Linked DNA regions of Caenorhabditis elegans. Changing the gene in region 1 together with any one later gene gives a genetic interaction. Each region holds a gene or a part of one and is shown in the gene's direction. Other genes may lie near its edges. The genes, in order: bar-1, cdk-12, hmp-2 and lin-3.

The links.
Region 2: of bar-1 (region 1) and cdk-12, changing one enhances a phenotype caused by changing the other (phenotypic enhancement), as found in Caenorhabditis elegans (2 studies listed by BioGRID, with this or other methods).
Region 3: of bar-1 (region 1) and hmp-2, changing one enhances a phenotype caused by changing the other (phenotypic enhancement), as found in Caenorhabditis elegans (2 studies listed by BioGRID, with this or other methods).
Region 4: of bar-1 (region 1) and lin-3, changing one enhances a phenotype caused by changing the other (phenotypic enhancement), as found in Caenorhabditis elegans (2 studies listed by BioGRID, with this or other methods).

What each region holds. Positions count from the first base shown.
Region 1 is NC_003284.9:7,165,476-7,172,502, reverse strand, and holds bar-1 (Beta-catenin/armadillo-related protein 1), read left to right. Parts: upstream 1-1,877; 5' UTR 1,878-1,886; coding exon 1,887-1,954; intron 1,955-2,068; coding exon 2,069-2,195; intron 2,196-2,260; coding exon 2,261-2,356; intron 2,357-2,413; coding exon 2,414-2,518; intron 2,519-3,151; coding exon 3,152-3,298; intron 3,299-3,344; coding exon 3,345-3,469; intron 3,470-3,517; coding exon 3,518-3,632; intron 3,633-3,686; coding exon 3,687-3,899; intron 3,900-3,946; coding exon 3,947-4,192; intron 4,193-4,237; coding exon 4,238-4,351; intron 4,352-4,394; coding exon 4,395-4,538; intron 4,539-4,586; coding exon 4,587-4,712; intron 4,713-4,758; coding exon 4,759-4,854; intron 4,855-4,897; coding exon 4,898-5,129; intron 5,130-5,173; coding exon 5,174-5,262; intron 5,263-5,308; coding exon 5,309-5,465; intron 5,466-6,115; coding exon 6,116-6,351; 3' UTR 6,352-6,498; downstream 6,499-7,027. Other genes in the region: pgp-10 (P-GlycoProtein related), read right to left, coding at 6,617-6,753, 6,866-7,027.
Region 2 is NC_003281.10:4,331,300-4,336,024, forward strand, and holds the start of cdk-12 (Cyclin-dependent kinase 12), read left to right. Parts: upstream 1-1,692; 5' UTR 1,693-1,763; intron 1,764-1,835; 5' UTR 1,836-1,925; intron 1,926-2,094; 5' UTR 2,095-2,096; coding exon 2,097-2,290; intron 2,291-2,826; coding exon 2,827-3,024; intron 3,025-4,725. UniProt on the Caenorhabditis elegans protein: Cyclin-dependent kinase which displays CTD kinase activity: hyperphosphorylates 'Ser-2' in the C-terminal heptapeptide repeat domain (CTD) of the largest RNA polymerase II subunit, thereby acting as a key regulator of transcription elongation.
Region 3 is NC_003279.8:14,736,927-14,743,159, forward strand, and holds hmp-2 (Armadillo/beta-catenin-like repeat protein), read left to right. Parts: upstream 1-1,955; coding exon 1,956-2,011; intron 2,012-2,642; coding exon 2,643-2,704; intron 2,705-2,761; coding exon 2,762-3,424; intron 3,425-3,531; coding exon 3,532-3,696; intron 3,697-4,036; coding exon 4,037-5,028; intron 5,029-5,419; coding exon 5,420-5,596; 3' UTR 5,597-5,730; downstream 5,731-6,233. Other genes in the region: K05C4.7 (Armadillo repeat-containing protein 1), read left to right, coding at 777-869, 920-1,696; K05C4.5 (WD_REPEATS_REGION domain-containing protein), read left to right, coding at 5,839-5,951. UniProt on the Caenorhabditis elegans protein: Required for cell migration during body enclosure and cell shape changes during body elongation. Plays a role in recruitment of the cadherin protein hmr-1 to adherens junctions.
Region 4 is NC_003282.8:11,055,906-11,063,698, forward strand, and holds lin-3 (Protein lin-3), read left to right. Parts: upstream 1-1,908; coding exon 1,909-1,963; intron 1,964-3,393; coding exon of another isoform or gene 3,394-3,436; intron 3,437-3,493; coding exon of another isoform or gene 3,494-3,499; coding exon 3,500-3,739; intron 3,740-3,787; coding exon 3,788-3,952; intron 3,953-4,503; coding exon 4,504-4,585; intron 4,586-4,632; coding exon 4,633-4,759; intron 4,760-4,922; coding exon 4,923-5,045; intron 5,046-5,162; coding exon 5,163-5,251; intron 5,252-5,718; coding exon 5,719-5,994; intron 5,995-6,041; coding exon 6,042-6,153; intron 6,154-6,208; coding exon 6,209-6,295; intron 6,296-7,188; coding exon 7,189-7,266; downstream 7,267-7,793. Other genes in the region: ttr-16 (Transthyretin-like protein 16), read right to left, coding at 7,717-7,793.

The sequences.
Region 1 (7,027 bases):
TATTCTTTTCTTCAAAATTGATAATATGTATCATTATCATGTGTTAAAATTTTCATTTCTCGCAATCTTTACTTATCATCTTTTTAGAAACCCAACTTTGGAATATTGACGCCTGTATTGAAAAATTGGTGAAGGATTGAAAAATTTCAGTTAAAAAAAGTTATTTTTTTATGAGATCCTTTTTGCAATAGTCATAAATAACACACATTGCAAGTTAAAATAACTTTTGAGGTTAAAAATGTTTTTTTTTAGCACAAGACGGAAGCACTGATTTTTTAAATATTCCAATTTCCTGTAAGATTTTGAAATGTTAAATGATGTCTTTATGAAAGATTGCTCATAAGGAGAACACTGTTATCAGTAAACCCCCGACATGGAGCACCCGTTGCAACACTTTTCTCCATTTCTTAAACAAACTATTCTTCTTTTATTGCTTTTTCTCGACGTAATTTCACTTTTTTCCGGTTGTAAAATAATAATATATTATAAGTTTTTACAACTTAAAAAATAAATTGAGCAAAAACTTTTTCAGAATAGTATGAAAGATAGTTAATTCATTAATATAATTTTTAAGTTGTAGTCTTTATGACATTGTGTACATAACAAGTAAATGCAATTTGTCTGTGAAAGTGTTTAAATGTACAAACAATAGGCAACTCATACCCACTAAATGAGTCATTAACGTGTCCTTCAAAAAATCAAAGTTCATAGTATTGGAAAACAGGATAAAAAGTCATATTAATGATGATGCTTTTCTTCAGCGGAAATAAAAAAAAACCTTTTCAAAAGTGTATCATGAAAATTAGCAATTGATCCATTGCATGAAACAATAAAAAAAACATAATTTATAGTAGTGAACTCCAATAAAATTATAATAAATAACAATCAAAGTTTTGCTTAAATAATTTGAATGCCAGAAACTTAGCCTGAAAGAAAATTAACTTTTTTTTATCATTCACAGTTTGCAATTTTATCCTGCAATTTGAAAGTTAACACAATTTTTAAAAATTATTTTTAAGGTTGTACTCTTGGTTATTCTAATTTGCCATGATTAACACTTTCCTATTGACCAAACTTTTGTCTAAAATGAATAATCCTGATAACGATTCTGTCTAACGGAAACCAAATGATGGCTTGTTTGATTTTCCACTAGAAACCTTTTGAAAAACAGCAAATCTGGGTCGTTATGCTGATATGATATAAATGAATAAGAAAATAAAGAAGAATAAAAATGAAGGACTTGATAAATAAGAGTCGACTAATTATCCCAACTGATAATTTACGACTAAGCTATCCCATTTCTATTTTCTCTCCCAGCCTTCCCAGTTCTCCTCCCAAATACATCCTTATCAAAGTTGTTTCCCCCGTCTTTCCCGTTTGTTCATTTCAAACCCACAACTGATGACTGTGTGCCTTCTCGTTTCACCACAGATAATCATTATTATTGAAACATACCTCTAAATTTTATTAGCCAATTTCACACCTTTGGCTGCTCACTCACTGATAGGTGATTGAAAGCACGAAAGAAAATGGGTTGAATAATGCGAGCGGGACGGGCAAGGGGATGGGAATGATTGGGGGTGAAATAGAAGCCATCTGATATCAATAGCCCTTTACTCTAGGTTAGGTACAAACCGCTCATTTCTATTATTGCTTTTTCTTCATTACACAAGCCTTAGACTCTCTATCTCACTATTTCACCGCCCCATCACCACACACTCTTTCTTGTGCCCAGCAGGAAGATTTGTAATGTTTTCAAACATTTTGTTCATTCAGTTTTTTCACTGCTTTTTCCTATTTTTTCTCTTCATCCGGCAGACAAATCGTTTTTCTTGTTCGAATTGATTCATAAAAAAATATTTGGCTTTTTTTTTCAGAAAACTGGGATGGACCTGGATCCGAACCTAGTTATTAACCATGACGACACAAATTTATCAGAGGCATCTTTTACAATGTAAGTTTTTTTGATTGAACGAGCCTGCAAATTTGAGGAAAAGAAACAATTTATTTTGATGTTGGGAGTTATCAAAAAAAAAATTTTAAAACTGTTTTAAAATATTTTTTACAGGGAGCAACACACCTCGAGCTATTCGGATATACACATGGGCTCAACGCCCTGCACCGGCCACCGCAAGGTGGATATGTGGCGGAATCACAACTTTGATAGCGGTTTCCAAACAATGAATCACAGTGAGGTACGAGAAAACAGAGGAGAGATAGACACACACACACAACAAAGATTAATGTGTTTCAATTTCAGGCTCCATCTATTATATCATCTCTACATCCGTCATCGCATCTTTCCGGAATGTCATCCATGGCCGACTATGAGCCGATCCCCACTCTTTCAGATCAAGTAAGACCATTTCATATCAAAATGCGCTGGTGGACAAAATTGTTATTTTTCTTCCAGCAAAAACAAAAGTTTGATGGGATCACGCAAAATCAAGCGGATGGGCAGTATAACACAGTTCGAGCAATTCCAGAACTCACTATGCTTATGAAAGATCAGGATAATGTAAGATTTTTTTGTTCAAAACTTTTTTGAAATATTCATACTCATAATTTCACAATATATGAATTAAAAAAATCCTCGGTTTTGACCTATTTTTTATATTTTAATTATATTCAAACATCTTGTATTCCAACATGCAACAATGCTCGAAATGTTACAAATTTTTGGAAAACTTAGCAACTTATCAGAACTGTGACTGAAATTTTTGAAAAAAAAACTTTAAAAAATTAGAAACGTATGTCTACTATTACTATTATTACTATTACTATTACTATTACTACTATTACTGGACTACTATTATTTCATTTAGGTATAATATGATGTTAATTGATTTTTAACTTTCAATTACTCAAAATAAATTATCAAATCTACAGTAAGAAAAATATTTAGTCGAATTTATTCACTTAAATTTTCAAATCACAAAATCTGAAATTAAACTATGAACTTTTGATTTCAGTACTGATATTAACACAAAGATAAATTGGTTCTAATGCTGCTTACTGATGAAGCCGGTGTTTGAACTTTTGATTGTTTGTAACATTTAAAATCGATTATCAAAATTGAAGTATCTGGAAAAAATTTAAAAAAATTGATTGTTCTGCTGAAAAAAACATTATTCAAACAAAAATCTTACAGGAGGTTGTGCACAAAGCTGTAATTCTGATGCAAAATATTGCGAAGATGGAGTGTGACCCAATGCGACGGCAAAATGAAGCTCGAATTGTGGACCCCCGTGTTATATTTACACTGCGTGATCTTCTCCGTGACAAAGTTGAATTCCCGGTATAGCTTGTGCACTTGCACAGTTTAATACATCATATATTTTCAGAACATCATTCGTTGCACTTTGGGAACATTCTTCCACATTTGCAACCGACAGGAAGGAATTGATCTTGTCACTCGAGCGATCGCAGAACAACCTGATATAATTCCAAATCTTATTAGGCATATTGGGTAAGAAAGTTAAATTTCAGAAAAAAATCATTCAAATAGCTGTTACAGTACTTATCCAAGTTCAATATACAAATATGCCATTCTTACTATGCATTCGATTCTGTCCGATAAGCAGAGAGGCGGACAAAGTGTGATCATTGCGCGTCAACAAGATGCGATTACTGTAAGATTAAAGAAGAAAAAAAATTGAAAAAAAAAAATTTACAAAAAATTGCAGCATGTGACTCCGTGGTTAGAAGCGGAGAAATCAGAAAAACTTCTTCCAGTGATAGTTGACTTGATCAGAGTTTTGTGTGAAAAGAACACCGAACAGAAAATCAAGTTTGTGAAAATGGGAGGACCTCAAAAACTGCTCATGCTACTACAACACAGAGTTTATGAAAATTTGCTTTGGCGAACTACGCAACTTTTGAAAACATTTTCGAACTTTGTAAGAAATATTTGAAACTGAAGGATGTAATGTCTGAACTTTTCCAGGACGCTCCAAATCTTGTTGCTTTTGGTGGTCGCCAAATTCTCGCCAATCTTCTTTCACATGGTAGTCCGCGACTTGTACAATCAACCCTTGAAACTTTGCGAAATATAAGTGACGTACCAAGCAAAATAAAAGAAGATTTACTTTTGAAATCTCTTCTGGAGCTGGTCAATTCTCGAAATACAACAATCCGTCTATATTCTGCTCAGATAATGTCAAATCTAGTTGCAAACAACAGGCATAACAAGGTGCTTTTGTCAGAAATCAAGATATAGTATTAATTTTAATTCCAGGAGTTTATGTGTGGCAACAATGGGGTTGTCATTCTTGTGAGAGCTTTAACAATTGCCACCAAAGAGATGGGTGACTTGAGAGATAAAGAAGCACAGCAAATGGAGGATTATATTGTAATAACATTTAAATTTCAAAGCTTAACAATACGGTTTTCAGGAAAGCCTAATTTGCACGCTACGGCATCTCTGTGTTGGACATCCAATGTCAGATAAGGTCCAAGCATTTGTTTTCCGAGATCCTGCATTATTTCTACACAAATTGTTAACAATGAGACCAGTATTGCTGAAACACACATTGAGTGTAAGTCATTAATTTGAAGGGCTAATAAGAAATTGAGATTTAATTTAGCTCCTGCTGAAAGTTGTATCCCAACATGCCCTTCTTGCTCCATTCCGATCATGCCGAATTGGAGATAAAGGTTTTGTTGAGCAACTCATTCATATTTTGAGAGTGGCATGTACCCAGCTGAATGTGGTAAGTAAAAAGTCAACAAACCGACTAATAATTGTTGGATTTCAAGCAAGAATCTATCGAAGGTGTCCGCGTGAAAGATATCATTCATCTTTGTATTCAAATCCTGCGATGGATTACAAGAGACCAGGACATTCTCAACGAGGTATTAATGTTTTCAGGTTGAAAACCCAAATTTCAATTTATAGGTTGTTTTCTTCCTGCAAACTCCTGAAAATAGCCGAATGGGCGATGGTCATACTCTTCCAATTTTTGTATTACAAAAAGCCAACGTTGAAGAGAACACGAAATCATCGGCTCTGGCCTTGATTTATAATTTGATGCATCATGAGCAAATGGCAAACGTACTTGACAGAGATGACGTTCTTGTTAAAATGCTTCAAAATGTTCAAATGCAATCTCAAACTCACCCTGAATTAGGTAACGTTGCACACCAATAGACAAGTAGAACTGAAAATTTACAGCAAGTCTAGCAAATAATATTCTCAAGATGATGTATGAGAAGCGAGAAAAGACAAGGAATACTCTTCCAAGATACAATTCATATTTAGAGGTAACACAAAATGGGGGATAACTCTAAGAAAAAGTCAGTATTACAGAGCCAATTTGGTCACATGAGCATGACCACCCCACGAAGCGAAGCACTAAATAGTAGCGGTGAAGTGTGTGAGGGAGCTGGAGAGCAATGGTCTACACCTTTAACAGATGATACTATGATGGATTCGTATTGCAACAGCTCCGGACGAGATTCATCAAGTAAGATATAAGATGACAATTTAATTTGCTCTAGGAAGCTAATCAAATTTAACAAATAACTTTCGGCCATTTTGACATTTGCCGGATGTCAAAATTTTGAAGATGTCTTTAGAAAAGCAGTTTAAAATATAAGCTCAACAAAGATATATGTTCGATAATTTTCAAAGCTTCGGCAACACGATTGTTCGTTGCCGAAAACTTCCCGAAGTTTTTATATATTGCCAACTTTGATAAACGCAGGATTCCAAAGATTCTATCTACATACATAGTTTTGCTTACCATTGTGAGAGCGAAAAAAAAACTTAGGAAAATTGTTATAGATGTAATTTTTCAACTTTTTTAAAATAACAATCAAAATTTGACAATTATTCATTTTACATAGTTACCCATTTTTTGGAAGTAAAAATTGTTTAAATGTGAAATGAAGGTTTTTAATTAACGTATTTGCTCTATAAGTGGGGGTGCCAAAACTTTTTGAAAGAATACATATATTTCGTAATATTTTATTTCGGCTGTATGATTGTTTTGTTTTTTTCTTAAGATTATTTTACTAAACTTTTCACTGACGCTACTCCACCTTCGAATTGGATTGAGACAATATACTATTAAAGAAACTATGAACCTAGAACCAAAAACAAATATTTCTTCAGAACCATACAACTCACCAATGTACCATTCCCCACCAGCAATGTATCCAGAATACTCAATTGGACCTCCCGAGACGTACTTGGATCCCCATGCCACAGCATCTTGTTATCCGCGACCAACGCCTCCTCAATATAACAGCTATGACCGTAGTCCACCAGTTTACAACGACCTTCCATCAAACCCTGGTCCGAGTAGTCATTCGTCTGATTATTATCCTTCTAGGAATAGTCGATTTTAATTTTTTAATTATAACATAGACCCCCACACTTTCCACCACCCCAGTCGGATATTTGTTGCACATTCCTTGAAAATGAGATTCTAATTATTTGTATACGGGTTCATGAATTGGCATGCAAAATATGTTGAATAAAGTGAATTTTTATTGAATTTCAATTTCAGAAAGTGTGTCAGATAAGAAAATTTTTATAAAAATAACAACTATTATTTACAAATTATGAATTCCAGATTCAGAGTGTAGTTTTTGCATGCCAAAACAAATTCATTTACGTCATTTGATTCATTTCGTAGTAGATACCCTTCAAGTTGATAAGCTGCTCATGGCTACCTTCCTCGGCAATTTCTCCATGAACAATAACGTATATTTTGTCGACGTTTCGAATTGTTGATAAACGATGAGCGACTGGAAAAAAAACATTTTTCCCGTTAGAGATTTGCCAATTCTCGTGACGTACTGGCTGAGAGTTTAAACCGCATTAAATATTACTTTTCAGTTTCAATATACTAATTCTTACTTTGAATACACGTGCATTGAGTCTTCGTACTCCTCTTGACTCGTTCAAAAGCGTTTTGAACTTCTCTCTCGCTGGCGCTATCCAATGCCGATGTTGCCTCATCTAACAGTAGAACAGTTGGTTTTCTGATAATTGCACGGGCAATTGCAATTCTTTGTTTTT
Region 2 (4,725 bases), on another chromosome or scaffold:
AGAATTCGAGAGACGTAGTGAATTCGGAGGATTTTTAGGAATTGAGATGATGAGGAGGAAAAGTTGATGGAAAAGAATATGTTTGAAGTAGGCAAGAGAGAGGTAATTTGGAAAATAAGTAGTCTCGAAAATGTTGGAAAGGTTTTTTGAAAAGTTGAATATCCAAAACTTCCAGACAATTTGAGGAAGCGTACTAGCAGCATCAGATCGCCTATCTCAAACAGTATAACGGCCATTCGATGATGTATGTACCCTAAGAATGATTGTATCCTCTGAACAAAAAATCGCTCGGTGTACCCTATGTCGATGTACCCTTGGATCATGGGCCGTTAGAAATATTACCCAGTTTCGGAATTGTCAATATTTTCATCCAGAATAACGGTACCCGGTCTCGAAACGATCAAAACTTCGTAGCTACCGTACCCGTTAGCTACAACTTGAAACAAAAAACGAGTTTCAATATGGATCTTGATATTACCGAAATGCAAAAATTTACGTTTTTTGCGCCAAAAATACGGCGTCGGCAAGACTTTTCGCCGATTTTTGATGATTTTTCTGCTGATTTGTTACAATTAGTGTATTTAATTTTTTTTTTCAATAAATACATATATTTTTAACTAAAAAACTATTAAACAATCGATGAAAGTCCCGCAGCAACAAGTTTCGAACTACAGTATTCTTTGAAGAAGCATACGCATTATCATTGCGTTTGACAAAAATGTGTCGTGTCGAGATCGAGTACCGTATTTTCGGGACGAAAATCACATTATTTCGCTACTGGGTAATACAAATTTAAAATTTTTGTTCAAAAAAGAGAAAAAAATTGCAAAATACTTTTAGGGACGGTAGCATTGAAGTTTCGATCGTTTTGAGACCTGGTAGTATTTAGTTTTCCGCCAAAAAATTCACATTTAGCTAATAAGATATGTTCTTAAAATGATCATTTTTGATTAATACATGCTTTACCAAAGTTTAAAAAAATCCAACGTGACCCGGCGCAATTGCTCAAAGAGCCATTCTTGATTTGACTGCAGGTTAATTTCAGGCCAGCTTTAATCCGAATAATAATCAGCTGAAAGCTCCCGTGATCCAACTCTTTCTGCGATCCATTCTGTATACAAAGTTGGGACACCTGAAACATCTCATTCCGAGGTTCTAAAAAAGTATTTTTCAAATTTGTATTATTACACTAACTTTCAATATTCCTTCTTCGAGCAGTTTTGCACGATAAAGCTACAATAAATTGACTATTCTCGAGCTCTTAATCGATAATTTAAATTTTTCTATGAGATTGCAGTTATTTAATTGTTCAGAGCAAATTCCAGCATCAGTTTTACTAGTTTTTCTCCTGAAAATGAAGAAAATCTAGAAAAACTCGACATAAGCGCCACCCACTGAAGGAAAGAGTGTGCAAATGTGAGAGAGACGAGAGAAAGAAAATGCAAGCGCCGCACGGTTTTCGTAGGCGGGGCCAATCAATTTCGATGCCATCCGACTTTTTTCTCTTTTTTCCTTTCTTTTTTAATATTTTATTGATATTTTAAGAATAAAAACTTAAAAAAATCTAAATATCCTGCGAAATAACAAATTTAGTTCAAAATCCCATAATATTTTCTCATTAAATTCATTAGCCAACGTGAGAAAAATGCACTTGTGTTTATTGATTGAAACTGTTTTCCTGTAATCGCATGATTTCAGTTGGTTTCATACGAAAGTTCAGACCAAATTCGACGCATATTGCTGCCGGATAGAAGAATAGCGTTGTAAGTTCATGATTATTTATTTTTGAAAAGGATTTAACAAATTGTTAGCCTGTCAAATTCGAATTTTTGCAGATTCAATGAGTTTCGACTCGTCGACTGACGGCTCGAATTTGGCAAACAGTGATCGATCGAATAGTAGTTGTTATCCTTCCAAACAAGACGGTCAGTCTTCGAAACAACCAAGAAATCCAATTGAACTCCAGTTTTCTTCCTTCGCTTCCAGTTTCATGTTCTAACATTATATTTCAATATTTTGTCGTCGTTGTGTCGTTTATTTTTTTTTGTTTTCTCATATTTAATCTCAAATCTTTAATATTCTTATCATTTTCAGCCATGGAAATATCGCCAGGTTCTTCGACACACGAGAGAGATCGAAAAGGTTCCTATGGACATCGGGAACGAACTCGCAGTCACAGTGGATCGCCTTCCAGATTTTATTCAAAAGACAAAAGAGGAAGTTCGAGACAAGGTGTGAGACCGAGAGATCGAGACTCGAAAGATTCAATTTCTCCACAGTACAAGCAAAGGTACTTTTTCCAGATATTAATTGAAAATTGGATTCTTCAATTAAAAATGCTGTAGCAGAGTTAAAGTTATTATCGGAAAATTGCGTCATTCGCATGATTTTTTGGCTGTATAGTCTCAAAATATGCTCAAATGAACTAATTTCGTAATAAGACATCTCAACATTTTTATGGCGGTTCAAAATTTCGAAAAAATGACGAGATTTTAGCTAAAATCTCCAACTTCGCCAACTTTTTCGTGACGCAACTGTCGGAAAACTTTTATCGATTTATCATTCCTTATTGCATATTTTGGTGATTTATCTTCCGTTTTTCATTGATTAAAGTAAATTTAAAGTTGAAAGGTAACCAATTCCGGCGATTTTTGGTTACCTACGGGCTTTAAATGTTGCCTAATCAACAAAATAATATGAGATAAACTACCGAAAAATGAAAGCTAATATCCGACCGCTGCGACTGGGAAAAGTGGTCAAAATTGGAGATTTTAGCTAAAATTTTAACTTTTTCCAAAAAAGTTGTAAAAGGTGAGCTAGTTTCAGGAATTGGTCCCGAGGCGGTGGCGGTGGTGGTCGCGACCGTGGACGAAACGATTTCAGCTATCGAAAGAAAGGCAAAGACTACAACAAACGACGAGATAAACGAAGCCGTAGTCGAAGCAGGCATCGATCACCGAAACGAAGTGGATCTTCGAAGAAAAGCAAAAGGAGAAATTCGTCCGGATCGTCGTCATCTGATCTGTAAGTTTGGATTAAAATCGATAATTTGTAGAGCAAGCGATGGAATCATAAAAAGATAAACTTGCCTGCTAATATCCCAATAGTTTTCTCGCAAATATTCGAATAATAGTCGCCAGGATTGCCATACATTGTCTGACTCAGAGAGGAAGGCGGGGCGCTGAACTGATGGTGTTTTCGCTGTGCTGGGGTGTGACTCCTCCCTTTTCTGACTTGTGCCAAATCACATACTCTGATCACTGGATCATTTCTACTACAAAGCTCGAAATGTTCTGACTGTGTGTGGTGCGGTTTTGTATTTGAAGTTTTAATCCAACCAGTCGGAATCCTGAGGAGCTTCCAGATAGAACATAGTTTATGAATCGCTGCACACCTTGTTCTAGTTGATAAAATTCTTTAGCATTTTCAATTGAAAAGCGCTACTTGATTACATTTTACGAATCCGTTCAACTTCATCCCAATCTAAAAAGACGTCACGTGTTCAATACACGAGCTTCTCTGGTGGCAAACTGTCAGTAACTAGCACTACTTTTCATAAGATCTACGTTGAGATATATTCCAATTAATTTTACTATAGCAGCTTTAAGCTAACTGAAATATCTGACCATTTGCACAAACCTACCGTATTCTGACCATTTTCTTTCCCATAACATTTCACTTTTTTAAAAGGGGAAAGTGTGAGGCAGGTGTCCCTGAAGGTCACCAATTGCAACGGGTTTTCAATAAGCATCGGTTTTAAAATGGGCAAAAAATGGAGAATGAGGCTCACGCTATGGCTATTGATATTAATATCAATTCTGTGGCGACCAGGCTATTCTCTCCATTCCCCGACTACATTGTTTTCTCTCTACGTCCATTTTTATCATCTCGTTGATTCGTTTTTTGCAAGAACTGATAGCCATCTCGAACTGGATCAACAATTGAACTAGGTCATTAACAACAAATCTTCTATTATATTGTTCATCTTGCAACATTTGATAGTTTGGAATCAGAGGTTTATAGAATATTATAATTCTGAATGTTTCAATGTGTCCTCTCACAGACGGGTGATTCATTCTTGTTTTACAAGCTTCCAAACCGTATGATCAATTTTTCCGAATCCGCTGATTTAATCATTTAACGTTCGAAGACTAAATGAGAAACTCACCGATACCTGTGTGATAGAAAGCTTATTCAATACCAAAATCGGCAAGTCCATTCAACTGGTCGATTTACATTCCGCCCGTCAATTTGCACTCTCATCGTATGCCCATTCCTCATCCAATTGTCTATTTCCTCGTGTCCTTTTTCCACCACAAAAATATCCATAAAAAAGAAAAAAATGAAGAAGATGCCACAACCACCAAAACATTCGGTTCCTGTGCAATTGAGACGTAGAGAACACGACGAAACGACCCTTTCTTCACTTTTTCCCCCACTCCTTCTCCATCGTTGCGCACACCCTTTGAGTCTGTTTGGGTCCCCGTTTCTCTGCATTCCTATCTCTCTGTCACTTCCAACCAGCGCCATCGGTGAATGAAGCTTGACGGCGGCGCCGTCCCCTTCGTTTTCCATCAGACTGCGTCTCTCCGTCGCCTCGTAATATCTCGGCATCTGAAATTTCTACGTCTCTCTCACACTGTTAGCTTCACCGTTGTCCATTCTTCTTTCGATCTCTCCTGTCAACGGGTGCCCCCTCCGCGACACTCAAATTTCCGTTACCGT
Region 3 (6,233 bases), on another chromosome or scaffold:
GCAACCGAAGAAGACATGAAAATTTCCTTTTTTTTTACTGTTACAATACCTATTTCGTAAATTATATATATATATATATATATATCTCGTTATCTCTCCTTATATTATTTAATCCCAACATTGTATTCAGTTTCATTGGCTTAGCAAGTTTTCGATTGAAAATTTTTTTTTTCAGCCAAATACCGATTTTTCATATTTTTTTCGCATTTTTGATTGATGTTTCTGTGATTATTGGTTTTCCTATGTTGTTTTAAAAGGGTTTGTAATGTATCTTCGCTGAAATGTTTGTTTCATATTCAAAAACGGCAATGTTTCCACTTTCCCACTCGGTATCTTTTAGTTTTCAGGCTGCAGCTTCAAAAAATTGAAAATGGCGAAAATTTTAGGGTGGAATTTGTTTTCTTTTTTTTTTTCATATTTTACATAATACTATTTTCGTAATTTATTTTTTTCCCTCAAAATGTGCATGATGCGTTAAATTTTTTTTGGCATAGACTTCGCGTCCCAAATGGCGAGTAATAATTATTGAGAAGGAAAACTGTGTGCGAGCCCTTTGCAAAATGTGTGCGCACCACTTGCGGTATGCCTCATCGTGTGACTCCGCCCACATTTTCTTTTGTTTCCATTTTCTCTTTTCCCCTCAATTTATCGATTTTTATCCACTTTTTGTTTTTCACATTTAGAATTGAGTATTTCATCGCTATTCTGGTTGTTTGCGTTAAAGTTTGTCGTTCAAAATCGAAATTTTCGTTAAAAATCAAGGTTTTTATTTCAGAATGACTGAAGTCGTAAATGCCGACAAAATAAAAACGATTCGCGCGTACTACAAGCTGTGCCAAAAGCCGGAGAATCGAGCAGTCGTGCTTAAGGTAAGTCGTTAGCTCACTCAGGATTCACATGAAAATTAAATTTCTTCCAGGACAAAACATTTTTCCACACTCTCCCAACGCTCCTCAAGGACGAAAGCTCCGATGTCATCAGATACACGGTTAAAATCCTCGTTTTGCTCACAGAGCAGTCGGGGAACATCGAGCAACTGCTGAAATCCGCAGATTTACTTCCAGCATTGTCGGAAGCCTGCGAAAATATCACAAATCCCAGTGTCAACTATAACTTGGTCCTTGTCTCGAGTAGGATTCGAGTAGTGAAGAATTCGCTGGATGCCAAAAGAGCCGAGAAAGAGCCTCTAGCCGATGCGATCAAAGAGCTCGACAAGGGCGGAACTCTTCACCGAAAATTCGTTGGAAGAAAGTCAAAGCAGATTATTATGGAATTCGATGCGGAGGAATTCGATGAAACGAAGAAGCTGTCAGTTGAGAGAGGCCTTCTGAAGAAAAAAGGAGTAATCAGTGTATATATAACCGAGCAGAACTCAATTCCACGCGCCGTGCTCCGCACAATCCCGACAATCGAAGCCAAGGACATTGCGCAGTCCGTTTTCGCCGCCGCCGGATTCGAGTACGTCGCGCAGTTAGTGAAAGTGAACGGAATCGACGAGAAATTCGAGTTTTACGCGTCAGAGATGGGCAAAATCACGGAAAACTCGAAAGATTACCCCGAATATTTGGATGATGATGTGCTTCACGTGGATCCGGCAAGTTGTGTGATAACTAATGAGATGGCTGCCCATGGAAGTGGTCAAGAGGGCGGATGGTTCAGTTCGATCACTTCATTCGTCAAAACTTCCCTCTGGTGATGGAAGGAATTCTCGGATTATCTCGGAAAATCTCGAAAAAAAATGTATTAAAGTACTACGGTTTCTTCTTTGTTATCTCAATATTTTCTTTTTTCTCCTGTTTCTCGTTTTTTTTGAGATCTCTTTCTGGTATTATCACCGCACAGGCATATAAATCGTTTCACACTGGTTTTTAAATCCTCGTATTCTTGATTTTTATGTGTTTTTAAGCTGTTTTAACCAGCTCTAATTATCTATTCGGCAGTTTCAGATTCGAAAAATGCGATTATTCTCATATTTGGACGGTTGCGGTACCAAAAATAGAGGAATTTATCGGTATAAAATATCCTTAAAAATCCAAAGTCCTAGTGAAAATCTTGTTTTTGCGTTTTCATCTAGTTTCCGATTCGAAAAAACCCATTTTTCTAAATTTTCTACCTGAAACCACGTATTTTGACAGTTGCAACACCAAAAATAGAATAATTTTCCTTTAAAATCGCCACAGAAGCACAAATTCCAAGTGATAATCTTTATTTTGCGTTTTCAGCTAGTTTCCGATTCAAAAAATGCGATTTTTCTCGATTTTCTACCTGAAACCTCGTATTTTGACGATTGCAGTATCAAAATAGTGGAATGTTTTTCAAAATAGCCATAAAAGTAAAAATTCCTTTTTAGCTAGTATCTGATTCGAAAAATGCGATTATTCCTCAATTTTCAACTAGAAATCCTATTTTTTTTTAAATTTTCTACTCTAAATTTCGATTTTTCGCACTTTTCCACTCGAAATAAATTTATTAAATTTAAATTTAATTTTAAAAAAATCTTAGTTTTTGTGGATTTTTCCTGTTTAAAATGACTTTTCTCTGCTCCCACATGAAATTTGATAGTTTCAGCACCTAAAATATCGAATTTCTTTGCATTTTCTCGTCTAAAACTCACCATTTCCTTTAAAAAGTATAATTTTCAGTAGCTGTGAACTCCCAACAACCATGCTTCTTCACTCTACCAACTCTTATTCGATATTCACTGGTAAAACACAAAAAAATACAATTTTTTCGAAATTTCTTCATTTAAATTAATTTCCAGACCATGAAGTCGAAACTCGAACCTCTAGAATCCGCTCAGCGATGTTCCCCGACTGGATTCCACCAACTTCTGCTGCAGAAGCCACAAATTCAACTACAAGCATCGTCGAAATGATGCAAATGCCAACTCAACAGCTGAAGCAATCAGTTATGGATCTTCTAACCTACGAAGGATCAAACGATATGTCAGGACTCTCGCTTCCGGATCTAGTGAAGCTTATGTGCGATCATGATGAGTCAGTGGTTGCTAGAGCTGTTCATCGAGCTTATATGCTCTCAAGGGAAGATCCGAACTTCTTCAATGCGCCGGGATTCGATCATCGATCTTTTGTGGAAGCTCTGATGGCTGCGTCGAAGAGTTCCAACGTGAATGTCCGTCGGAATGCGATTGGAGCATTGTCTCACATGTCTGAGCAACGTGGAGGACCTCTTCTGATCTTCAGAAGCGGAGGGCTTGCTGAAATCATTCGAATGCTCTATGATTCACTGGAATCAGTTGTTCACTATGCTGTGACAACACTTCGGAACCTTCTGATGCATGTTTCTGATTCCAGAGCTCAAGCGAGAGCTCTCAACGCCGTTGAGGCGCTAACTCCGCACCTTCATAAGACGAATCCGAAGCTGCTGGCTCAAGTGGCGGATGGGTTGTATTTCCTGTTGATCGGTAAGGATTCACTGGAAAAATCAAGAATTTTGTACAAATTTGCATTTTTTAAAGCTATAAATTCAAATTTTCCACTCTAAAATTTCAAAAATCGGTCAATTTTGCAGACGATGCTCCATCGAAGATCACATTCCTATCACTGTTGGGACCACAGATCTTGGTTTCGATTCTTCGCGAGTACTCGGATCATCGGAAGCTCATCTATACCGTCGTCCGTTGCATTCGATCCCTGTCCGTTTGTCCGAGCAACAAACCGGCGTTGATCAGTCTTGGTACATGGATGTTTTGATTAAAAACTATTTTATATCGCATTTTTAGAGATATTTTCAGGTTTTTATCCACTGAAAAGCTGGAAATTTGAGATTTTTAGCTGAAAATACTTGAAATTCGCAGCTATTTCGAGTGTTTTGAAGCAATTTTTAAACATTTTCCTTTATCTTTCACGAAATTCCAACAAATTTCAAAATTTTTGTTCCGGTGGTTCAAAGTTTCGCTGAAACCTCCAATTTTACCCTCTTTCAGCAGGAAATTACTTTGAAATTGCGCGTTTTTTGAGAATTTTCCAATAAAAAAGTTCAGAAATTTAAACTTTTCAATATTAATTTTTTCTAGGCTGCCTTCCTGCTCTCTACGTGGAGCTCTGCACCGCAAAAGACGAGCGATCCCAGACGGCGATTCTAGTGGCGATGAGAAATCTGTCGGATTCTGCGACAAACGAGGAAAATCTCACTCAACTGATCATCAAGCTTCTCGAAATCATTCGTGTCGCCAACGATGGAATGACTGCCTGCGCGTGTGGAACATTGAGCAATCTCACCTGCAATAACACTAGAAACAAGCAAACCGTGTGTTCTCACGGGGGAATCGATGCTCTCGTCACCGCGATCCGCCGACTACCTGAAGTTGAAGAAGTCACCGAACCGGCTCTCTGTGCTCTTCGGCACTGTACTGCCAGGCACTCACTGGCTGAAGAAGCTCAAAGTGAGCTGAGATTCTGTCAAGCATTCCCAGTGATTTTGGATCAGCTGGAAACTCTTCGTACTCCAGTTATCAAGGCAGCTCTCGGAGTTATTAGAAATAGTGCACTTCTTCAAACAAATCTTATCGAGTTGACACAAGAACAAACTGCAAATGGGCATACAGCTGTGTCACTGACAATGGATATCTTGAGAAGAGCTATCACGGCGATTGAGGAGAATCCTGATATTGCTGTAGATGGAGTTCCAATGTGGGGAGTCATCGAAGGAGCTGTCTCGGCTCTTCATCAGCTCGCGAATCATCCGGCAGTCGCTGCAGCATGCTGTGATGATATTGGACAAGTCGGAAATCCAGAATGTCCACCATTCTTGGATCTTCTCCATCGTCTTCTGGCTCATCCGAGACTCGGATCCATGGATGATGAAGTTCTCGAACGCGAGATTCTTGGGCTTCTCTATCAGTTGAGCAAGCGGCCAGACGGAGCCCGTGCTGTTGAGAGTACTGGAGTTAGTGCTCTTTTAATGGAATCTCGTGGCTCACAGTACAAATCAGTCGTCACTTATGCGAATGGAGTGTTGAGTAATTTGAAGAGAGGAGATTCAGCTGCCATCATGAATATGTCTAATGTGAGGAATTAGGAAAAAAAATAAATTTTCCGTAAAAAAACCGAAAAATCGAAAGAAAACTTTTGAGCCACCACGGATTTAAGATATTGTGGGATTCCGGATCGTTGAAAAAATGTGTTCTATGTGTTGGCACGGTGATCCGGAAATGGTAGATCTAGAATCCCACCGGATCTTGAATCCGTGGGGCCTCAAAGTTTTTTAAAAATTCAATGTTTTAATGAAATATTGTCCATATGGACAAATGTTGATGAGAAAAACCATATAATTTTGTTCTAAAAACAAGGAAAATAGTTCAAATTTTCAGCTTTTTTTCGAAAAATAGAAAAAAAAATTTCAACATAAATTTCCGATTTTCGAGCGAGCCATTCATGAATTAATTCCGAATTTTCAGTCGTACGACTACGAGATGAGTGGAAGTGCTGCGGATTGGCAACGTGATGGGCTGGAACGAGAGCTTTTCGCTGAAATGTATCCGACAAACGACGGCGGACACTCGGAATCCATTAATATGGCGTTGAACAACTCACAAATGCGCCCTAATCACAATTGGTACGATACCGATTTGTAATTAATTTATCTTCTCGTATTTTTGCATTTTTTACACATAATCTGCTGAATATATCCACTGGGAATTATTATTCATGGTTTTAAATTTAATTTTTGATACTTTCAATATATTTATATTATAAATGTAATTTTATACTTCCTACTATCTAATGTTATACGTATCTTTTTTTTGGTTCTTCGGTTCCTTTTTCCTATATTTTTTCAAAAAAAAAATTTCAGACAATTTAAACGAAAAATTTCCAGATGAGTATCTGCCTTGAAAAGCAGAAAATCCGATGCGGAATGATAAGCCGGACGGCTCGACACATTGCCATCGATGAGAATAGTGGAAAAATGGCAATTGTGAGGAAATCTAGGTTTGTACGGAGGATTTATTGGAAAAAATGATTTTTGAAATTAAAAATTAAAGGTGGAGTAGAGTCAAAACAAATTTTTTGCTTAAAATGACAGAAAATATACCCAAATAACCGATTATAACTGAAAAAATGTTCTAAATTTTTTATGATTTTTCAATTTTTCAAAAATTGAATTCCCGCGAAAATAAGTGACGTAATTTGTTTATATTCTCGCGTTTTCTGGCTAAATTCTTTGGTTTTTCTTGATTTTTCTTACACATATTTAGTTTTAAACTCTGTTTC
Region 4 (7,793 bases), on another chromosome or scaffold:
GCCAATGTGCTCTTACTGTTTCTATTTGTCTCCTCGCTTCTCTACAAACTTGCTGACTGGCTGACTCATAAAGTCTTAGAATCTTCTGAAAACTGGAATAGGAAGAACCAGAAGTAGTGTCAAAGTTGAAAAGATCCGATTTCATGTGAAAAAGGAATACGCCGTATTTCTGATACACTTTAATGTTTCCTCCAGTTTTCCCAAATAGTCTCGTTTTCATTCCTGATAAATAGGCAAAATGCAAACAGTGATTGCTCATCGAGTTGTTTTTTTATATTGGAATTCCCTAGATTCTGAAAATTGTTGCTAACACAAGAACATTTATCTCTCGAAATTGAGGAATTGTTTGCAAAGTGGACATTGATTAACATATTTTATAATTTATCTCAACTCATCCGTATCCATACTTCCATCAGATCCATGTTCGACATTTTCTTGTTTGTTCAGTGTTACAGTAACCTGGAAGATTCCGAAAATATTATAGGAACAAACAAAATTCCCAATTTTAAAATATACGTGGAATCGTTCCCCACGGCCAATTAGCACCGCCCACGAATCATGGGTCTCGTTAGGTATTTAGCGGAAAACCCGTAAATTCAGAGTTTTTAAATTACTTTTACCGATTTTGTCAATTTTTAAAAATTTATTTTACTTTCTTTGTATTGATTTTCATTTGGAAATTAATGAAATAAAGTTCATAAACAAATTTTTTTAAAACTTATTCACTTTTCAACATTACACGAATTTTCAAAAAATTATTTCGGCTTATAAATAATCAAAAACAACATAAAAAATAACAAAAATTGGCAAAACTAATTGAAAACGCTTGAATTTACGGATTTTCCACCAAATACCTAGCGAGACCCATGGGTTGTGGGCGGAGCGTTTCAACGTCGATTCTAAAATGACTGTCTTTCTGAATCCCCATAATAATAGAAAAGATTAAATTTAAAATATGTTGTAGTTATTTTTTCACCATCAAAATAGATCACTGCGCATCTTCTCTATTTGCTCTCTTCTCGAACCGCCCATCGTTGACTGACTCATGCCACTGAAAAGTACCACCAAGAAGCCACTGATTTTCCCAGGGTCAAAGCTAACCTCTTTTCGATTTCTTTTCATAACTTTTTTGTTTCGCAATAATTACTCTTCCGATCAACAGTTAGCTTCCCACTTCTCCCGATCTTTCTCTAACAGTTAGCTGATCTACTACTAGACTGTACGATTTTCTCTGTTTTCTCTGATGTTTCTTTGTTATTTTTTGCTCTCAGCTAACATTCCTTGTATAAAACTGTGATATTAATATCAGTTAAGAAATACAGTTAGTGCGGTAGCCAGAAAGTTCATGTGAATCATCATGGCCATCAGAGTCTCTGAGTTTTATAAATTTATATATTTTTGGGATATTTTTTGAAAGAAAGAATTACGGTAGCCGGAATCAATTTTCTTGAATTCCAAAGAGCGTGCACCTTTAAGGAGTACTGTAGTTACCAACCCTGTATTGTTGGGATATTTTTATCAGATTTTTCACAATTTTTACCTGTTTCTTTCATTAAAACCATCAATTTTTTTTGAAGAAATTCAACAATAAGGAGTTGGTAACTACAGTACTCCTTAAAGGTACACGCTCTTTGGAATTCAAGAAAATCGGCCGGTTCGAGACCGGGTACCGTAAAAAAATTTCGCATTCTTTGCACAATATTTCCTTATGTTTCTCTTTAAAAATTTAAAAAATTCCCAATTTTTTTAAATTTTAATTTTCAGAATAACGGATCGTCGGCTTGTCGGTGTTCTTCCCACCCCTTATGCATCAATTTTTCCTGTTTCATAAGGTATTTCAATTAAATTTCTCAACAATTATCCAAAAAAAAAAATTATTTCAGATATCGTCGCCCACAAGTTTCCAAAATGCGGAAAATGCTACTTTTTTGCATCCTTCTACTCTTTATGCCTCAATTTACAGGTAATTTTTCATTTAAAAAAAATGATGTTCTACTTGGAATTGAACGTCACACCTCTTAAAACATATTGAACGGATCGAATGATATTTGACACTACAACCACATGTGTGTTCGTGTTCTACACATTTTTTGTCTAGTGCACTAAACATTGTCATATGGAATAAAAATCGCCACAAACGACTATGAGAAAAGATTGGTTCAGGAGCAGGGAATTTTTTTTCGAAAACGAAAATGAAAAATTTAGTTTGAAACGATATTTTGACCGAAATCGCACTATTTATGTTCACAATTTCCAGTGTGATTCTTTGGAAAGTTGTAAAATTTAAACATTTATAATTTTTCAGTATATCAGCATTTTTCGCTTAATTTTTTTTCCAAAAAATCGAAAAATAAATTTTCCACCAAATACACGAAAAATCTACAGCCCTGTTCAGGCATTTTCTCGATTTTTGCTCTAAAAATACGGTACTGGGTCTCGACACGAAAAGTTTTTATTAAATGCATGTGCGCCTTTAAAGAGTACTGTAATTTCAAACTCCCGTTTTTGCCGAATTTTTAAAACTGGTTTCCGATAAAAAATTGTCTGTTTATTCAAAAACAACTATAAAAGCACACCAATTTTAACAAATCGTAAGAAAAACTTTAAAAAATTGATTAAATTTCCGCAGCAACGAAATTTTGTAATTACAGTACTCTTCAAAGGCGCTCATCTATTTACATTAAATAAATATTGTCGTGTCGAGACCACGGACCGTATTTTTGGGGCGAAAATTGCAAAATTTTGCGTCTGGCGAATAGCCGTATTTTGTGATAATTTCCGTTTACCCGGTTGCAAATTGAAGAGGTCATACAGCAATGCACAGTAGGTGATCGTAAATATTCAAGTACCCGCCAACACCGCCAAAATGTTGTATGCACCCCCTCATAAACACCCTTGACAATACTACCATCGGTATTTATTTCACCTATATTGGCAGCAATCTACGAGTTTACCACCAACTATGTACATACCAGTTATTACATATTCGAATTTAAATGGTCCCTTGAATGGTTTGTCATTAATTATTGTAGATTTTTAAAGAAATCAGGCAATTTGATAAATTGACAAAAAAATGTAGATGTCGAGAACAATAATCACAATACAAATTCAAAAAAAGACTAACAACCAATCTACAGTAGTCTAGAAACAAAGAAATAAAATCGTACTTTTTTTATTCTTCAAGTTTCTTTCCGTGGATCCTTGAGCTTCTGTACTTTCAAAATTCTAGAACTTCCCGTCTCTCCCTATTCAATGCACCTGTGTATTTTATGCTGGTTTTTTCTTGTGACCCTGAAAACTGTACACACAGGTGTTCTTACCAATGTCTCAGGCATTTTTGGAAAAGTAATATTAAGAAAATTATACATATTTTCTTGAATACGAAAAATTTAAATGTTCGGTAAATCGATTCCTGAACGACTTCTAGTCGCATTTGGTATGTCTATAATATCAAAACAAAGATTATTATTTTCCATTCAAATATCAATAAAAGTTTCAGAATCGTGTCTCCCTTCGTGGTTTCGTCAAGAACGTAGTGCTCCCGAACAGCTTCAATCTGCAGAGAATGCAGCTGAAAATAGTGGCTCTGTACCACCCGATACTTCTCGAAATTCTCTAGAAACAAACGAAATAGGTGATGCACCGTCGTCGACTTCGACACCTGAAACACCTACTGAAACTACGATTTCCGAAGCTGGAGACGATGAAAAACGAACTGAAGAGGTTGCAAAAGAATTAAGTAATACTTAAATGTATAGAGAAAATCTCAGAAATTTGTTTTTTTCAGTCGAGAAAGAAGCAGAATATGAGGGTGAATATGAAGATGAAAAGGTTGATGAAGAAGTAGAAGAAGCGTTAAAATATAATGAAGATGCCACTCAAGATGCCACGTCGACTCTTAAACCGGCGGTTCGGAAGGAAATCGAGAAGTTGAAAGAAGCAAAATGCAAAGGTAGCCATTTGATTAGGTCTGAAAAACCTTTTGAGTTTTCGTTCCATTTTTCAGATTTCTCGGTTTTCGGGAAAAACCAACCCTTTTTTTAGTTATTTCAACAAACAGTTTTTGAAAATCTAAAAAATTGAAAAACTGAAAAAAGTTGGAAATAATGTATGTTTAAAAAAACGAGAAAACTAGGTTTCTTAAAAACATGTCAATTTTTATGCGAAAATGTATTTTATAAAATAGGAAAATTACCGAACATTTTGAATTTTCAAAAAAAAAAACCAACAAAAAATTGAAAGTTTTTGATTTTTAGTTTTTTCAAAAATTTAAATTTAAAAACGATTTTCGATTTCAAATGAATGAATTTTTCGATTATTTCGATTTTCAAAAAATAGAAAAAGTTTTCGACGACATCTTTCCATGATTCTTGCTTGTTGAAATAATTAAAAACGGGTGTTTTTTTCCGAAAATCGACACCCTTGCAAATGGATTTATGCAATTGGAGTTCTTTAATAGATTAATGAATTCAGTCTAAAATCTTGAAAAAAAATAATTTTCAGACTACTGTCATCACAACGCGACATGCCACGTGGAAGTGATATTCCGTGAAGATAGAGTTTCAGCAGTTGTTCCTTCTTGCCAGTAAGTCTGGAAACAATTATGAGCAAGTACAGTAATCCTTTTTGCAGTTGTCCACAGGGTTGGGAAGGCACTCGTTGTGATCGTCACTACGTTCAGGCGTTCTATGCCCCAATCAACGGCAGATATAATGTACGTTTGAGCACGATGAGCAGCACGGCGCAACTCCTCGTTCAAGTAATTATAATCTCTCATCTAAACAAAAAAAATTAACAAAAATACCCTTATTGTGAAACCCTAATTAAGTTGCATGTAGCATGTTCTCATCTAATTATTTTTTGGTTTGTTTGCGGTGATGGTTTTCTATGAGAAACATATCATTTTTGTAAATTATTTCTAGGGAAAAACGAAAAAACCATTAATTTTTATGGTTCATCATCCAAATCAAACGATTTCTACAACGCCTTCCAGTCAAGATTCTGAAATTTCTTCTATTTTCAGTGGGCTTTATGAGAGAATTGTGGTGAGAATATAAATTATATAATGGGCTTGATGTCCACATTATTCGTCAATCTAGAATATTCGAAATATGAAAAAAATTAAATTTTAAAATGCTGCATTTGCTCATACTTTTTTTCAGCAATCTTCAACATCAGCTATTCCTGCGTTCGCATTTCTCATTGTCATGCTCATCATGTTTATAACAATTGTTGTTTATGCTTATAGAAGGTATACTTTTCATCAAAAATTTGAAGTCTTGGTAAATTTTCGGTTTTTTTTCTCAGAAAAAATTTCAGGATATTATGAAATTTTGTTCATTTTGATGAGAAAAAACCTTAGAAAATAGCATTTTTCTAAAAGGAGAAAAATGACCGATAAATTGATTTTTTTTTGAAATATTGAAATATCTGAAGAACGAAAAATTGGAAAACGAAAAATTTCGATTTTCAAGTTTAAAAAAATCGAAAAAAATTTGCATACAAAAATGCAATGTTTCGAAAAATATATTTGAATTTTGGCCAGTTTATTCTTTTCTCCTCTCTTCAGAAGAAAATTATGTTAGGAAAATTGTTTTCTAATCAACACACAGCTTAATAATATTTTGAAATTGTTGTTAATTTTCTAAGCATCTTTTTTTAAAGATTTTCGAACATTTTAATGTAAATTGTTCAAAAACAACTATATAAATGTTTCAGAATGTCTAAACGATCGGATGATATGACATATACAATGAGTCATATGTGCCCACCAGAAGCATTCAATGTCCTCAAAACACCAAATGGACGACATATTCCAGTTCATCAAATTCCATCATGTTCTTATACTATCCCAACACCGGGTACAGTACCTCCAAATATATCATCAACTCCTGGATCAAGAATACCCACTCGTCAACAAGCTATTCGAAATAATGAACAAGCACGGAACAACTTTTTCAGCATTCTCAGAAGTCAAGGTACCATTCCATCCAGGTATCAAAATTCTGAAAATTCATTTTCAAAATAAAATGAACTTTCAGGAGTATCAATGACGACGACACGCCGAAGCACTACAAGTCAGTGCCACGTGTTGAAGTTTCAGCAATTAATTACTCTGGCCACATTGATTTTTCAACAGTATCATATCAGTCGGTCAGTTTTTCGATTTTCATGGATTTTTTGAAAATAAATTAATCGCACATTTCAGACTGAATCAGAAGTTTCAAAAGCATCAGTAACATGTCCACCACCGGCGCACACTGTAATTAATATCGAGTTGGATTCTGCAGATACGGTAATTATTGTTTTTAAAAACTAAGAATCGAGGTGATATTACTCAAATGCGATTTTTTCCACGACAAATTTTTGTTGAATGTGGAGTTGTGTCGTTTTGAATGCACTTCAAATGATAAAAATAGACCTCAATGAACAGATATAACTGTTAAAAAACTTTACGAAAGTTTTTTAAATCTTTAATGATTTTTTGGATTTTGCAAAAACTAAAAAAAGGCTAATTATTTTTGAATTACCGCGCAAATGATGGAATGATTTCTGGAAAATATTTTCTAATTTTTCAATATTTGATGTAAACACCGTTTGTCAATTTTTCAGACAATTTCCCGTAAACTTGAAATAACCCCCGAAAGAAATTCGTTGAAATTACTAGTTTGGCAAAAATATCGATAATTTAACTTAAATTAATATTTTTTGCGCGGAGAATTGTCTGAAAAATTGAGAAACAGTAATTCAAATCAAATATTGAAAAAAAAAATTGAGAAAAACCAACGAATTTATTCATAAAAGTGAAAATGTCGAATCCAGGTTAGTCGCAAATTCAAAAATAATTATCCCTCAAATGTTTTTTCATTACTTTTTTAGCAGTTATATCTGTTTATTACGGTCCTTTTTCATTTAGATCACATTTTTAAAAATGACTGTACTCCGCCTTTAACTGCAAGCGGAATTGCGCCTTTAAAGATTACTGTCTTTTGCAACCCCTCGTTGCTACGAAATTTTCATTGATTATAATACAATACATTTTTCGGGTTACATCCATTTGTTTATTTTTTGGAAAATGATTACAGTAATCTTAAAAGACGCAGTTCAACCTGGTATCGTATTATTTGTGCAAAAATCGCAAAATCTAACCTCTGAATAATAAAATGATTACTCATTTGAAAGTTTCAGAATTTTCGATCCCCGTCTCGAAGTTCTGGAGAACAAGGATCACCAGCAACATGTGAACCAATGATTCGACACACATGAAATTATAATTTGTTTCCTTATTTTGTCTTATCTTTTTCTTTTTTCATCAACTTCTCTGTGCTATAATTGTGATTTACCACTGCTCAAACATCTCTGGTCTCTTCAAATTTTTTCGCTTTCTCTTTTTTCCTCTATTTTCATATCGTTCTACATGTTTTATAGATTGCATTTGGCACCCTATTATATCCCACCCAAATGTTCTATAGTTCTCTCACTCTCCCTCTCAGTTCCTGTGACAATTTGTATAATTTTGCCAGTTCAACTCCTCGATTTCCAACGGGTACAATATTTGCATCGTTTTTGTAATTTCCTTTGATCCCTAGTCTCTTCAGGTCCTCGTTGAAAAAACTAAACATTTATTTCATGTTTTTATTAATGGAAAATTGAGAAAAATCATATAGAAAAAATATATATTTAGATAGTCAATAAAATCCAGGAAGTTTGCACTTTTTACTGGCATTTTTCCTTCTCTCCGTGAACCTTGATGTCGAGGGTGACGTAGGTCATGTCGTAGGTTCCTCCGATCT